Linked DNA regions of Oryctolagus cuniculus. The protein of the gene in region 2 interacts with the protein of the main gene of each other region in a biochemical or structural test. Links are inferred from orthologs where the notes say so. Each region holds a gene or a part of one and is shown on either strand. Other genes may lie near its edges.

The links. The genes of interacting proteins can lie anywhere in the genome.
Region 1: the proteins of RBSN (region 2) and RAB5C form a complex in vitro, tested with the Homo sapiens proteins (2 studies listed by BioGRID and IntAct, with this or other methods). The link is inferred for Oryctolagus cuniculus from reciprocal best matches to the Homo sapiens genes RBSN and RAB5C.
Region 3: the proteins of RBSN (region 2) and RAB5A form a complex in vitro, tested with the Homo sapiens proteins (3 studies listed by BioGRID, with this or other methods). The link is inferred for Oryctolagus cuniculus from reciprocal best matches to the Homo sapiens genes RBSN and RAB5A.

What each region holds. Positions count from the first base shown.
Region 1 is NC_091448.1:20,642,878-20,647,061, reverse strand, and holds the start of RAB5C (ras-related protein Rab-5C), read right to left. Parts: upstream 2,843-4,184; 5' UTR 2,684-2,842; intron 2,504-2,683; exon of another isoform or gene 1,768-2,503; intron 1-1,767. UniProt on the Homo sapiens protein: The small GTPases Rab are key regulators of intracellular membrane trafficking, from the formation of transport vesicles to their fusion with membranes.
Region 2 is NC_091441.1:113,935,208-113,938,782, forward strand, and holds part of RBSN (rabenosyn-5), read right to left. Parts: intron 486-3,575; coding exon 345-485; intron 1-344. UniProt on the Homo sapiens protein: Rab4/Rab5 effector protein acting in early endocytic membrane fusion and membrane trafficking of recycling endosomes. Required for endosome fusion either homotypically or with clathrin coated vesicles.
Region 3 is NC_091435.1:155,566,565-155,570,809, reverse strand, and holds the start of RAB5A (ras-related protein Rab-5A), read right to left. Parts: upstream 2,843-4,245; 5' UTR 2,828-2,842; intron 2,781-2,827; exon of another isoform or gene 2,646-2,780; 5' UTR 2,334-2,645; intron 1-2,333. UniProt on the Homo sapiens protein: The small GTPases Rab are key regulators of intracellular membrane trafficking, from the formation of transport vesicles to their fusion with membranes.

The sequences.
Region 1 (4,184 bases), on a different chromosome or scaffold from region 2:
CTGGTAGTGGGGGAGCCCAGATGTCCAGATAACGGAGAACCTGCTGACTCCAAAGCCCTAGTGCCCCCCATCCCACCACACCGCCTCTGTGTGTGCTGGGCAGGGGTTACAGGAAGAAGCCTCTTCTAAGAAGCACTTGCTTGGTAGGGCTGAACTTGAACTCCTGACCTCCTTGTTTCCAGTAAATTCAAGTGAAGGCGCGTCACCTCGGGCAGCACTGCAGGGCAGCCGGAGGCCCTCCCGCCCTCACTGGGGCCCAGGAGGCCCCCGAGCCCAGTGGCTTTCACTTTCACTTTCCAACCATCAGCCGGCAGGTTCCCAGGAAACTGACGGCAGTCAGATGTCAGCGAACTTGGGCCCTGCAGAGCACCAACTCCTGTCAGGGCCCCTGCAGGCAGAGCACAGGGGGCCAAGGAGGAGGCCAGGAGGCCGGGGTGAAGATGGGGGAAGAGATGGGAAGCAGAGCAGCGCCAGGGACAAGGATGGTGCAGGGGCTCAGAGCCTGCACTGTGCCCCTGATGCTCACCCTACCTGTTCATTCATTTAAGGGCCAGTCACTAGGGAAGGCCGAGGTCACATCTGAGCCCAGATCCCAAGCCTCAGCGCCATCACCTCCTAACCGCGTGGTCTTAGGCATCATCTCCAATGTGGAAATGCAAATCTCACTACCTCCCAAGGAACGTGTGAGGGACGTGTGTGAAAAGAAGTCTGCAACTCTGCAATGACCTAAAGCAATTAGCAGTTACCATCACCCTGTAGTATAGCAGCAGAAAAAAGGCCAGCTCGCTGTGACGGGCCCAGGGAAGGAGGGAACATGTTAGAGAGGAGGGGCTTCTGCCCCACACAGAGCCCTCCCTCTGCCAGGCAGGGTTCGTCCTGTTACGATGCTTTAATTTTTGGAGGCCAGAGTGGCTACACAGCCACCCAGAGCTGTACAGCCTTCCCCACTGTTCTGAACAGGGAGCTGCTCTTCCCGAAGCCTGCTTCCGAGTCAGAGCTGCAACGCAAAGAAGAACCCCTCGGACGGCCGCTCGGCCTCATCCCTGCACTGCTGCAGCGCTCCGCCAGCCACGGCCCACCCCGTCAGAACCAGCGGCCCTGCCCTCAGCCCCACAGCCCCACCAGGTCCGATGAGGAGGGCGGACAAAGTCTCCAAGGAGCCCACACGGGCTCAGGGCTCGTGATCCAGCTGTTGAGCCCAATAAGGAAGTTTTGCTTTGTTGTCCAATAAAAAGTGAAACAAGTGCGTTCAAGACCGAGCTCAAAAGACTGTAGGGACCACACACTAGCAACTGTCCAGAGCAGCAAAAAAGATCTCAAAGCAGAAACACCTTTAACACTGGGAAGCAGCAGCCAAGGGCAGTGAGGGCGGCCCAGGAACACCAGGAGCTCCGGCGATTCCGGCAGCGTGGGGCTCTCCTCCCTTCCTCCCCTGCAGATAGCAAGGGTCAGTCCTGGCCTCAGGCAAGCTGCTCCTCATTAAGGTAGTCTCTGGCCTGTACTTTGGCCACGTAACAGAACGGTCTAGCCTGGTCTGAGACAGCAGCCATTTCACACACCCAGTTCCTAAACAACAGAGTAGGATCCTATGGCAAAACAGCCGGGGGGAGGGGAGGGCAGCCCTTTCTAGCAGATTTGGGAACTCCTCTTGCTACAGAAATTAGCTAAGAACCCAAGACTGCCACTGTGCCCTCGACTCATTGGTCTGTAGTACGTCCAAGCCCCGGGGACTGAGGCGAGGCCCCGGTGAGGGTGGACCTGTTGCTGGGGCGGCGGTCGAGTGTGTGTGTCTGGGAGCAGCAAAGAAACGGTCCTTCAAGCCCCAGCTCCTCACTTCTCTGGGCTTATTCTCTCCTCTACAGCCCAGCGGACAAGGCAGTCCCGCAGAGGCAGCTTGGGGAACCGCTCACGTGCTCTCGGGAGGACAGGGCTGAGCCTGGAGCCGAGGGGGAGGAGTAGGGGAGCCAGAAGATAATGAATGGGCAGAGCCACCCTGACCTAGCATTGAGCAAACCTCAGCTGAATTCTTCAGAGGCAGGAAGAGAGATACACTCAAGAGGACAGGGCCGGGGGACAGCGGGGACAAAACAAGAAGGCTGCTCGTTCCCAAGGAGTGCCCCGCGCCCCAGACTCCGCTGAGGTCCTGGCTGGCTCTCTGGCTGGAGGAGGGAGAACGAGTCGGGAGTTGTGGGAGCACACACACTTCTATGCGCGTGGAGTCGCCTCCCCCAGACCACCCTCCCCCAAAGGAAATCGAGACAAGACTTCTCCAGGGCTGGCGGGGGACAACTGCTTCTGTGGGACCGGGGTGGGGGGGACACGGCGACAGACAGCCCTCCCCGCCACCTCTACGGGAGAAGAGGGGCAGGTTCCTGCACACCTGGCAAAGACCGGCCGATTCTGGGAGCAGGGAGAGCGGAACTCAGGGTCCCTCTCCGCCGCGACTGGACTGGACAGGCCAGAGGAGAGCCGCAGGGGTTTCCCCAAGGTTCACAAAGGGCAGGTAAGTCGAGGAAAGAAGGGATCTTCCTGTGGCCTGACGCCTGCGGAGCGCCTTAAGAAGGGGCTACGGGTCGGGGGAGGGGTCAGTATCCCCCTAAGATAGGGCTGGGCAGAAGGAAGGGCTGCCCCGCAAAGGCAACTGGGCTGGAGAGACACTGGATCCCAGGACAGGCACACTCACAGCGGCTCCGGGGACGGCGGCGTTACTTGGGGACGGGGCTCGGACAGGTTTCGCTCCTCTCCCCCCCGGCGGTGTCCCAGGCTCCGGCCTCCACTTCCGCCTTTCAGCCGCTCCGGATCCGGATCTCTACCTCCGCCCCGCCCCTCTTACTCCCAGGTGACTGACAGGGCGGAGAAGCCAATGGGAGGCCCTCCTGGCCGACCCATAGGCGGTGCCGGTGAGGGTCGCGGGAGAGGCGGGAGAGAGCGAGCGAGGGACGGCGGGACTTGTAGTTCGCAGCACTGGGCGGAGCCGTCGCCTGCTTGGGACTTGGCCTTAGGGTGGAGCCGGCTGGGGCGAGGCGGAGCCGGCCTGGGCTGCTAATCGCGTCACTGCGGGTTCCAGGAGCCCCGAGGGAAGGCGAATGGCTGCGGAGCGATGGGAGAGGGCAGACGACTGTGTGTGTAGAACTGGGGAGGGGGCAAACGTGATGTGAATGAGTTCGTACGGGAGGCCGCGTGGGTCTCGTGCACTCGCTAACTGGGAGCAGCCCCTGGCCACGCTTCCTGAAGTTGGGGGCACTGTGTGATGGGGAAGGCGCTCTGGGATGCTAGGTGACATAGAAGGGGGCGCTTTATAAACCCTCCTGCGTTGGGCTGGTCCCTAGACACACAGAACCACCTCTGCCCCTCTACCCCTCCCCACACCCGACTGGAAGCAGATACAGAGCTGGATACCTGCTGCCTCAGCTGGAATCCCCACCCCCACGTAGGTTGAGACATTTCCGACGCCTCTCCCTCAGGTTTAGGGCCACTTCTCCTTATTCTCCCCGCCCCCCCTTCCCCTCCTCAGCCCCTCACCTCCCAACACAAGCCAGTACCTCTCCTATTTCTTCCTCTCACTCCTCAGGGACGCTACCCAAAAGCCCTATGGAATCTGTCTGTGACAGCCGCCATCACCCGTCGTAGCCTAGAGGCTGAGCTGCAGAATCTGGCTGCACATCTGGCTGCAGCTGGTTAGCAGGTGCTTCTTTCTTTAGAACATCCACAGCTCCCCTCCTCCTGGCAGCCACCATCAGAGAAGTGAAAGCTGGGAGGGCTTGGGAGGGCAGGGGGCATGGGGCAGGGTGAGATTCCCACCAGGAGCTTGGCTGGTGCCCAGCTCTTCTCCCAGCGCCTGCTGCACGGAGCCCAGCAACCCCTCCCTGGGTAGGAAGGGTAGGGAGTCCCCTGGGCACTCCTTGCCAAGGCTGGAGGTAGGCCTGAGCCAGGACTCTGTCCCTCCCACATACGTGTATCTGGTGAGGGGGGGAGGAGGGCACATAACAGGCCCGTGGTGACTCATTAAGGTCTCTTCCTCATCCCTGGGGCCCCTGGTGGCGTGAATGTGGTGCCAAGTGGATTGCTTGGCTCCTCTGCCCTTGCTGGAGGTGACAACAGGGCTCTGGGGTATGGTGAGGGAGTGGCTGCCGGGCTGCCTCCTCCATAGCCGTGGCTCTCAGAAGAAGCCGGAGCCAGCAACT
Region 2 (3,575 bases):
TGTCTCTCCCTAGTCAACAATGTCCCGGGTGAGAGTAGACAGCCCAGCAATGGAGCCAGCCCAGGCTGATGTCAGAGACCTGGAATCACACCCCACGTGTGCAGATCACCATCTGTTTGACCCCAGGCAGGTTCTCGTGGGGTGCAGTGAAGAATCAATGAGAGCACCCGTATATAGTGGTGAACAGCACTGACAGAGCACACGCACACCTCCTTCTTTTCCAGTCCCTCATTTCTCAACGTGGTTCTTGAGAAGGTTAGGCCACTTTGATTTATGCTGCTTCCTCAACCACTTCTTAAAACACTACGTAGCACAAGGTAGCCAGAATGAAATGATTTTCTTACCAAGTTCTTGGGGTTCCCACATGTAAGGATCAACCCCTCCATAGCTGAAAGACTCATATCCTTGGGTCCCTGATTCTGCTCGATCATCACCTTCTCGTTTCAACAACTTGTTCTTTGCTTTCTTAGCCTTCTGGACAAGACCTTTAAACATACAACACAAATGATCCTGTTTAGAACACCCATAACAAGTCAAGGGAAATCTCAAAAACAATAATTGATGGACTACATGTCCTTTGTTTAAAAAAATGTACAAGAAATACTTGGATCCCAAATGAAATGCAACAATAAATATCTAAACACTCTATTACAAATACCACAGAGCTAATAGTCAGTATGAGCATTAGGATTGTTTATGTGGCCAATATATAGGCTTACTATTACACTTTTTTTAAAATATTTATTTCTTTATCTGAAAGTCAGGAGCCAGGGTTGTGACAGAGCAAATTAAGCATCTGTCTGCGACACCAGCATCCCATTTGGGTGCCGGTTTGAGAACTGGCTGCTCTACTTTCAATCCAGCTCCTGAATGGTCCAAGAGCTTGGGCCTGCTACCCACGTGGGAGACCTGCAAGAAGCTTGTGGCTCCCGGCTTCAGCCTGGCCCAGTCCCGGCTGTTGCAGCCATCTATAACTCTGACCTTCCTTCCTTCCTTCCTTTTTTCTAGGACTTATTTACTTATTTGCAAGTCAGAGTTTCAGACAGAGGACTAGAATCAGATATCTTCCACTCACTGGTTCACTCCCCAAATGGCCGCAATAGCAGGGACAGGGCCAGGCTGAAGCCAGGAGTCAGGAGCTTCCTTCAGGTCTCCCACGTGGGTAGCAGGAGCCCACTTGGGCCATCTTCTGCTGCTTTTCCCAGGCCATTAGCATGGAGCTGGATCAGAAGTGGAGCAGCAGGACTCAATCCAGTGCCCATATGGGATGTCAGCATTGTAGGTGGCATCTTTATCACTACACTGCAACACTGGCCTTTCACTGCCTAATTTAAGAGCCCAATGAAATACAAGTGTTAAAACTAAATGCAATGCGGCCGGCGCCGTGGCTCAATAGGCTAATCCTCCACCTTGCGGCGCCGGCACACCAGGTTCTAGTCCCGGTCGGGGCGCCAAATTCTGTCCCGGTTGCCCCTCTTCCAGGCCAGCTCTCTGCTGTGGCCGGGGAGTGCAGTGGAGGATGGCCCAAGTGCTTGGGCCCTGCACCCCATGGGAGACCAGGATAAGTACCTGGCTCCTGCCATCGGATCAGCGCGGTGCGCCGGCCGCAGCGGCCATTGGAGGGTGAACCAACGGCAAAAGGAAGACCTTTCTCTCTGTCTCTCTCTCTCTCACTATCCACTCTGCCTGTTAAAAAAAAAAAATTAAAAAAAAACCTAAATGCAATGATGGAACCAGGGTGATGAAAGTGTTCTTTTCCTGTCTCTTAATTGGGATGGTGGTTATATGAGTATTCACGTTTGTCAAAACTTACTGTACACTGAAAAACTCATGTATAGGTGCCAGTGTCATTGAGCAGCAAGTTAAGCCACCATTTGTGACACTGGAATCCCGTACTGGGGTGCCTGCCTGTGTGCTGGCTGGTCCACTTCCACTCCAGCTTTCTGCTCATGTACTGGGATGGCAGAGAAGATGGATGGCTGCCACACATGTGGGAGATGCGGATGGAGTTCCTGGCTCCAAAGCTGGCTGTTGCAGCCATTTAGGGAGTGAGCCGGCAGATGCAAGATTTTTCTCCATTTCTCTCTCTACTCCCACCCACTCTGCGTCACAGTGGCTTTCAAATAAGTTCATAAACTCTTTTATAAACTTATATATAAACTTCTCAATTAAAATAAAAAATTTTTAATCAAATTCAATGGTGCTAATTTATTTACCCTTGATATTCACAAGTAAACACTTCTCATTTCTCGAGAGCCCTGGACAGGTGTTCTCCATAATCTACAATTGGACACAGAGCTTTTCTTTGCTCCATAGCTGCTTACCTGCTTACTGAAGATAAAGGTGATAATATTTACAAAAGCTTCAAGAAATACATATATCTGCAACCTAACACAAAGAGAACCAGGCTAGCAAGAAAATGAACATCTCCTGGACCGAGTCACTGTGGGAACCAGGCACAATGAAAGACATCTTCAAACACACTGTATAGTTCATTGCTCACAACTTCCAAAGGCAAGGCACAGCCCTGCCTACAAAGGAGGAAATGACAGCAAAGATGGAGAGAAACATGCTTCACTCAGGATCAGGAATCTCAGACACAAGAGGGCTGGAAGTGGACACCTCCCACTACTGTAACAAGAGCCCAGCTCCCCCACAGCTAGCACTGATTCACGAATGAGGCTTCTGCAGAACAGAGTTCTGCCACCTGTGCTGCGGTTCTGCAGGACCACAGTTAAAACGCAACAATCAACTGGCAAGGAATACAAAATAATTCTCAGTTCTAAACTGCTCTATCACTGGTGTCCTTAAGTCCTGGGTGACTGCTATCCCTTTCTGCCAAGGGTATCTGTGACATCATTCACAGCCTGTACAAAATTATCAACTTAAAAATTAGCCTGCAATAGGTTCATTGATTTTGAGTCCCACATGTGGTTGCCTTGGCAGGCAAAGGACAAAATGATTTCACCAGCTCAACGTTCCCCATCCCTGTAAAACTCTAGTACAAAATATCACATTTAATCCAAAATGTCATTAACATCTAATATCAATACCTCATAGCCGGCGCCGCGGCTCACTAGGCTAATCCTCCGCCTTGTGGCACCGGCACACCGGGTTCTAGTCCCGGTCGGGGCGCCGGATTCTGTCCCGGTTGCCCCTCTTCCAGGCCAGCCCTCTGCTGTGGCCAGGGAGTGCAGTGGAGGATGGCCCAAGTGCTTGGGCCCTGCACCCCATGGGAGACCAGGATGAGTACCTGGCTCCTGCCATCGGATCAGCACAGTGCGCCGGCCACGGCGGCCATTGGAGGGTGAACCAACGGCAAAAGGAAGATCTTTCTCTCTGTCTCTCTCTCTCACTGTCCACTCTGCCTGTCAAAAATAAAAAAAATAAAAAAATAAAAAAAAATCTCGTAGAGTTCTCATGACTCTGAAATGTCCTCTGACTTGAATGACATTAAAAATAATCCAGAGCTTTTATTTATTTTTTTCCACAGCTTTTCAAAACCCTAAGTAAATGCAGACATGGTGGCACGGGGTGGGGACTAGCAGGAAGGGAGTGGGAATGAGATAGGTGGG
Region 3 (4,245 bases), on a different chromosome or scaffold from region 2:
ACTGAAGGTGGCAGCTTACCTGCTACATCACAACCACAACCAAGGCTCCCAAATGTGCTAATTTTCAATTTCAAAGGAATTAGCAAATATTTGAAGAGCACTTTTCAACCTATTCACATCTTTAATAAAAATATGATTATATGCTTACTAATATACTAAATATGATTTCCTCTCTAAAAATGTAGCTATACTTCACTGAGTTACCTCATATAAGAAATTCGCCTTCCCTATAAAATTTTAGTTTTTATGAGACATATTATTGACAATTCACTAATATATTGATATCTTAATTCTAGACAATTAAGTTCACTTCTTGGCTTTATCTAAAACTCCAGCTTTGAAGCGTCTTTAACAGTACATGCTGATATATTTACAGATGAAATGATGTTTAAGCTGCTTCCAAACATAAGGTACAGGGGCTGGCACTGTGACATAGAGGATAAAGCTGCCGCCTGCAGTGCTGGCATCTCATACAGGTGCTGGTTCGAGTCCAGGCTGCTCCACTTCTGATTCTGCTCTCTGCTATGAACTGGGAAACCAGCAGAAGATGGCCCAAGTCCTTGGGCCCCTGAACCCTCATGGGAGACCAGGAAGAAGCTCCCGGCTCCTGGCTTTGAGTCAGCGCAGCTTAGGCTGTTGCAGCCATCTGGGGAGTGGACGAGCGGATGGAAGACCTCTCTCGATCTCTCCTCTCCTCTCTCTGTGTAACTCTTTCAAATAAATAAATCTTAAAAACAAACGAACACACACCATAAGGTACAAATAAAACTACTTCCCCATACTGTCCCAAACACAGTAAACTTGGGAGTTTAATCCTGGTAGTACCAATTTCTGTCTGGGCCAATTTTTTAATTTTCAAACTACATAATTTGCATAGTTGCCAGTTAATCACGTGATACAATATATATAATCTCTAATACAGTACCTATCATACAGCAGGGTTTGAATGGACAACTAAAGTGGCCCTTTGGTTACATGTCAAACACCAATAGAATGTCGTATAGGCAGAAAACGCACCAATTCGCTTTCAGGAATAAACATAGTTGAAACACTTCCCAACAGCCTCTTATCTACAAAACTGCTGATCATTTATCAAGGATACCATGTTCTGAATTTCTACAGTACTTCTGAAAATTTAGGGAAAACACCAGACACCCATAAAAAAGTCAAGCAAAATTGTGATTTACGTTTGCCTTCTAAGTTTTGAAGCCACTGAATCCTTATGCTACAAGGATCTCTAACAGGAAATAAATCAAAAACAGCGTAATATTAACAAGGTAAAAACTGCGTGCATTTACTCGTATTCACACTTACTGAGAATTCTCCCAGTTTTGCCAAACAAGGACTTTGCATTGTATGCATTTTTAAACTTGGAAATAACTAGTGTTCTGTAGTGCTCTTTTGCTCTTTTTAGGTCCTCTTTGATCAAAAAATCACTGGGTACTCATTCTGTGCCTGGCATGGTTACCAAGTACTTTGCTTACAACAACCCTAAGTGTTCAAACTATCTGCATTCGACAGTGAAAAGAACAAAGTTTCTGAGGAGTCCAGAATATTCCCGGAGTAGTGTAACAGTTTGATTCCACTTAAGCCAGGCCAAAAAAAATCAAATACGTAAACTAGGATGCTAGGAGCTTAAAAAGTCTGAAAGTCTCGAGGGGCTGACCAGTTCCCAGGGAAGACAGCATCAGGGCAGGTCTCCTGGTTTACCCACCAAGGGAGCTGTACGGCGGCCCAGTTACCTTTAATTTCCTTAAAGCTGCGGCTCGCCACCTGCCAGTCTCCAGAGCGGTTGTCTGGCTGAGCCTCCCAGCCCTTCCATTACCCATCTTTCGAAGGTAGGCGGAGCTCCCCAGATCCACACCTGCCCTAGGCCCCGGTCCCTGCTTGCAACACCTGAGCAGCTGAGAGCCGACTCCGGATCGCCCGAACAAACAGTACCCGCCAGGGCTCTGGGCCGTCCCGCCACCCTCCTCCCTTAAACCTGCACGGCTCTCCCTGGGACCCCCGGGCTGTCTGGAGAGGCCGGGCGGAACCACGGCCTCCGGTACTCTTTCCGCGGCGCCATCTTGAGAAGGGAAGAGGGTGACACCCGTCGGCTCCCTCACCCAGTCCCCAAATCGCGGTCTCCACCAGAACCCCTGGCGGCATGAGTCACCAGGGCTGGCAGGCCGACAGGCCCGGGTGCGGTAGCTCTGTGGTCCCGGAGACGGGCGCAAGTCGGGGAGGACGTGCTGGGGGCCCCGCCGCCCGCACAGCCGCGGGCAGGATGGAGACCGCGGCTCAGCCCAGCTCCAGACCCGCTCTGCACAGGGGAAGGCTGGTCTGGTTACCTGCGGCTGCGGCACGCGGGGCCGCGGCACCGCAGCTTGCTGGCGGCAGGGAGCAAGCGTGGCCCGAAGGACGGCAGCGAAGCGGAGGCTGTGGCGGCGACGGCGGCGTCTCCTCGCGTCGCTCGCCTCACACCGGACCGTGCGGGGCTGGAGCCGTGGTGCCGCCCCTGCCGGGCTCCGTCTCCGCCTCTCCGCGCTCCGCCTTTCTCTTTCCTTTCTCCTCCTCCGCCGCCGGCGCTCAAGTTCCGACGAATTCTTCCTCCTCCTCCTCCTCCCTCCTCCGCCTCCTCCCCTCAGGCCGGCCGCCGGCTCCTTCAAGAACCAAAACACAAACACTCAAGTCCCAACGCGGGAGCCACTTCCGCAGCCGGGCGCCGGCCCCGCCGCCACGTCGCTGCGCGCAGCGAGAGACGCCGCTTCGTCACTTCCGGTCGGCGCCAGTCCGTCCCGCCCCATCCGCTTCCCCGCCCCTCTCGAGGCGCACCCAGCCCTACCGGGGAGGGGGCGGGGCGCGGCGGGCTGTCACGTGGCTCTGCGCTGGGGCGGGTTTTACTGCCTTGTTGTGTCTGCGCCACGCCGGTTGCGCGCGACCGCGCCCTCGCAGCTCTTTTGTCAGCAGGGCGGAGGCCTCTGGGCTCCTGTGACTGGGGCTGGGTGGGGTATCCCGTGCTGCCCTGCTTTGGGGGAAGACCTAAGGCGCTTGAGTTTGTTGCGCCCAGCCCTTTGTTGTAAGTGTGAGCTCACAGTCCCCTCCATCCCGCCCCGCACCACCCCAATCCTGGTGACTTGGCCTAAGGGGTTTTTTTGAGGGAGGTTGTAACAGGAGACACGCCTACTGTGTCCCTGAGGCCAGGTGTGTCTGTAAAGGAAGGTAAGTCGTTTGTACCGCCGGCAGGAAGCTAGGACCCTCTGCATCCTAAAGCCGTCTTTAGTGGCAAAGCATTAAAACAGTTGGCACGTAAGAAGCGCTTACCTGTTTTTGGTAGGGTACATGTTAAGCAAACCTGTTGTTCAGATTTCCCTTTGGGAGTTACAGTACTAAACGTTTTACAGTAGGTACAAGTCTTTGTGAAACCAGCTTGTGAATCGTCGTGTGGGCACATTAACACTAACTTCCCAAACTGGTCCTCACCTCTGTGAACCTGGCTAGCACGTGGCCAGGCAGCTAAGAATCTTCAGGCATGGCTTTGGGATTAATGAATGAGGCGTGCCTGCTTTACAGGTAACGCGCTCGAAGCACAGAGATTGTGTAACTTGTACAAGACTGGGAATTCTTTTTAAAGATGTATTTATTCAAAAGGCAGAGTAACAATATTTCTTCCATCCACTGACTCACTTCCCAAATGGCTGCAATGGCAGGGCCTGGCCTATGCTGCCAAGAGGCTTCAGCTCCTTCCTGGTCTCGCAAGAGAGTATCAGGGGCTAAGTACTTGGGCCATCATCCCCTGCATTAGTAAATAAGGATTGGAAGCAGAGCAGCCTGGGTTCAGACTAGCTGTTCAAAAGGAGACTCAGCATTGCAAGTGGCAGCTTAACCTGCTGCCTGTGCCTTGACCCTCTGTGCTGCGTACAATACAATGCTGGCCCCAGAATGTCAGTTCTTATACAAAGTTCCGGTGAAAGACCACAACCTGAGCTGGTTGTTGCCCTCTGCAGCAGATCCTCTTAAGCATGCTTTGGTAAAATCCCAGATCATAGTTAGTTTCTGGAAAGCGTCTAAAACCAACCCCTCTCCCCTTGATCGTTGCTTTTTCCCCAGAATAAGGGATGCTTTGCAGTTTATAATTTACAACTTACAGTCCTGCTGTGAAGGCATGAATATTGTCTTTGGAGTGTACCTGGGCTAAGGTATCCTGTGAGTGCTCGGTCAACATTGTGCAATGAAGATGATTTGAACCCTTGACTAACTAGC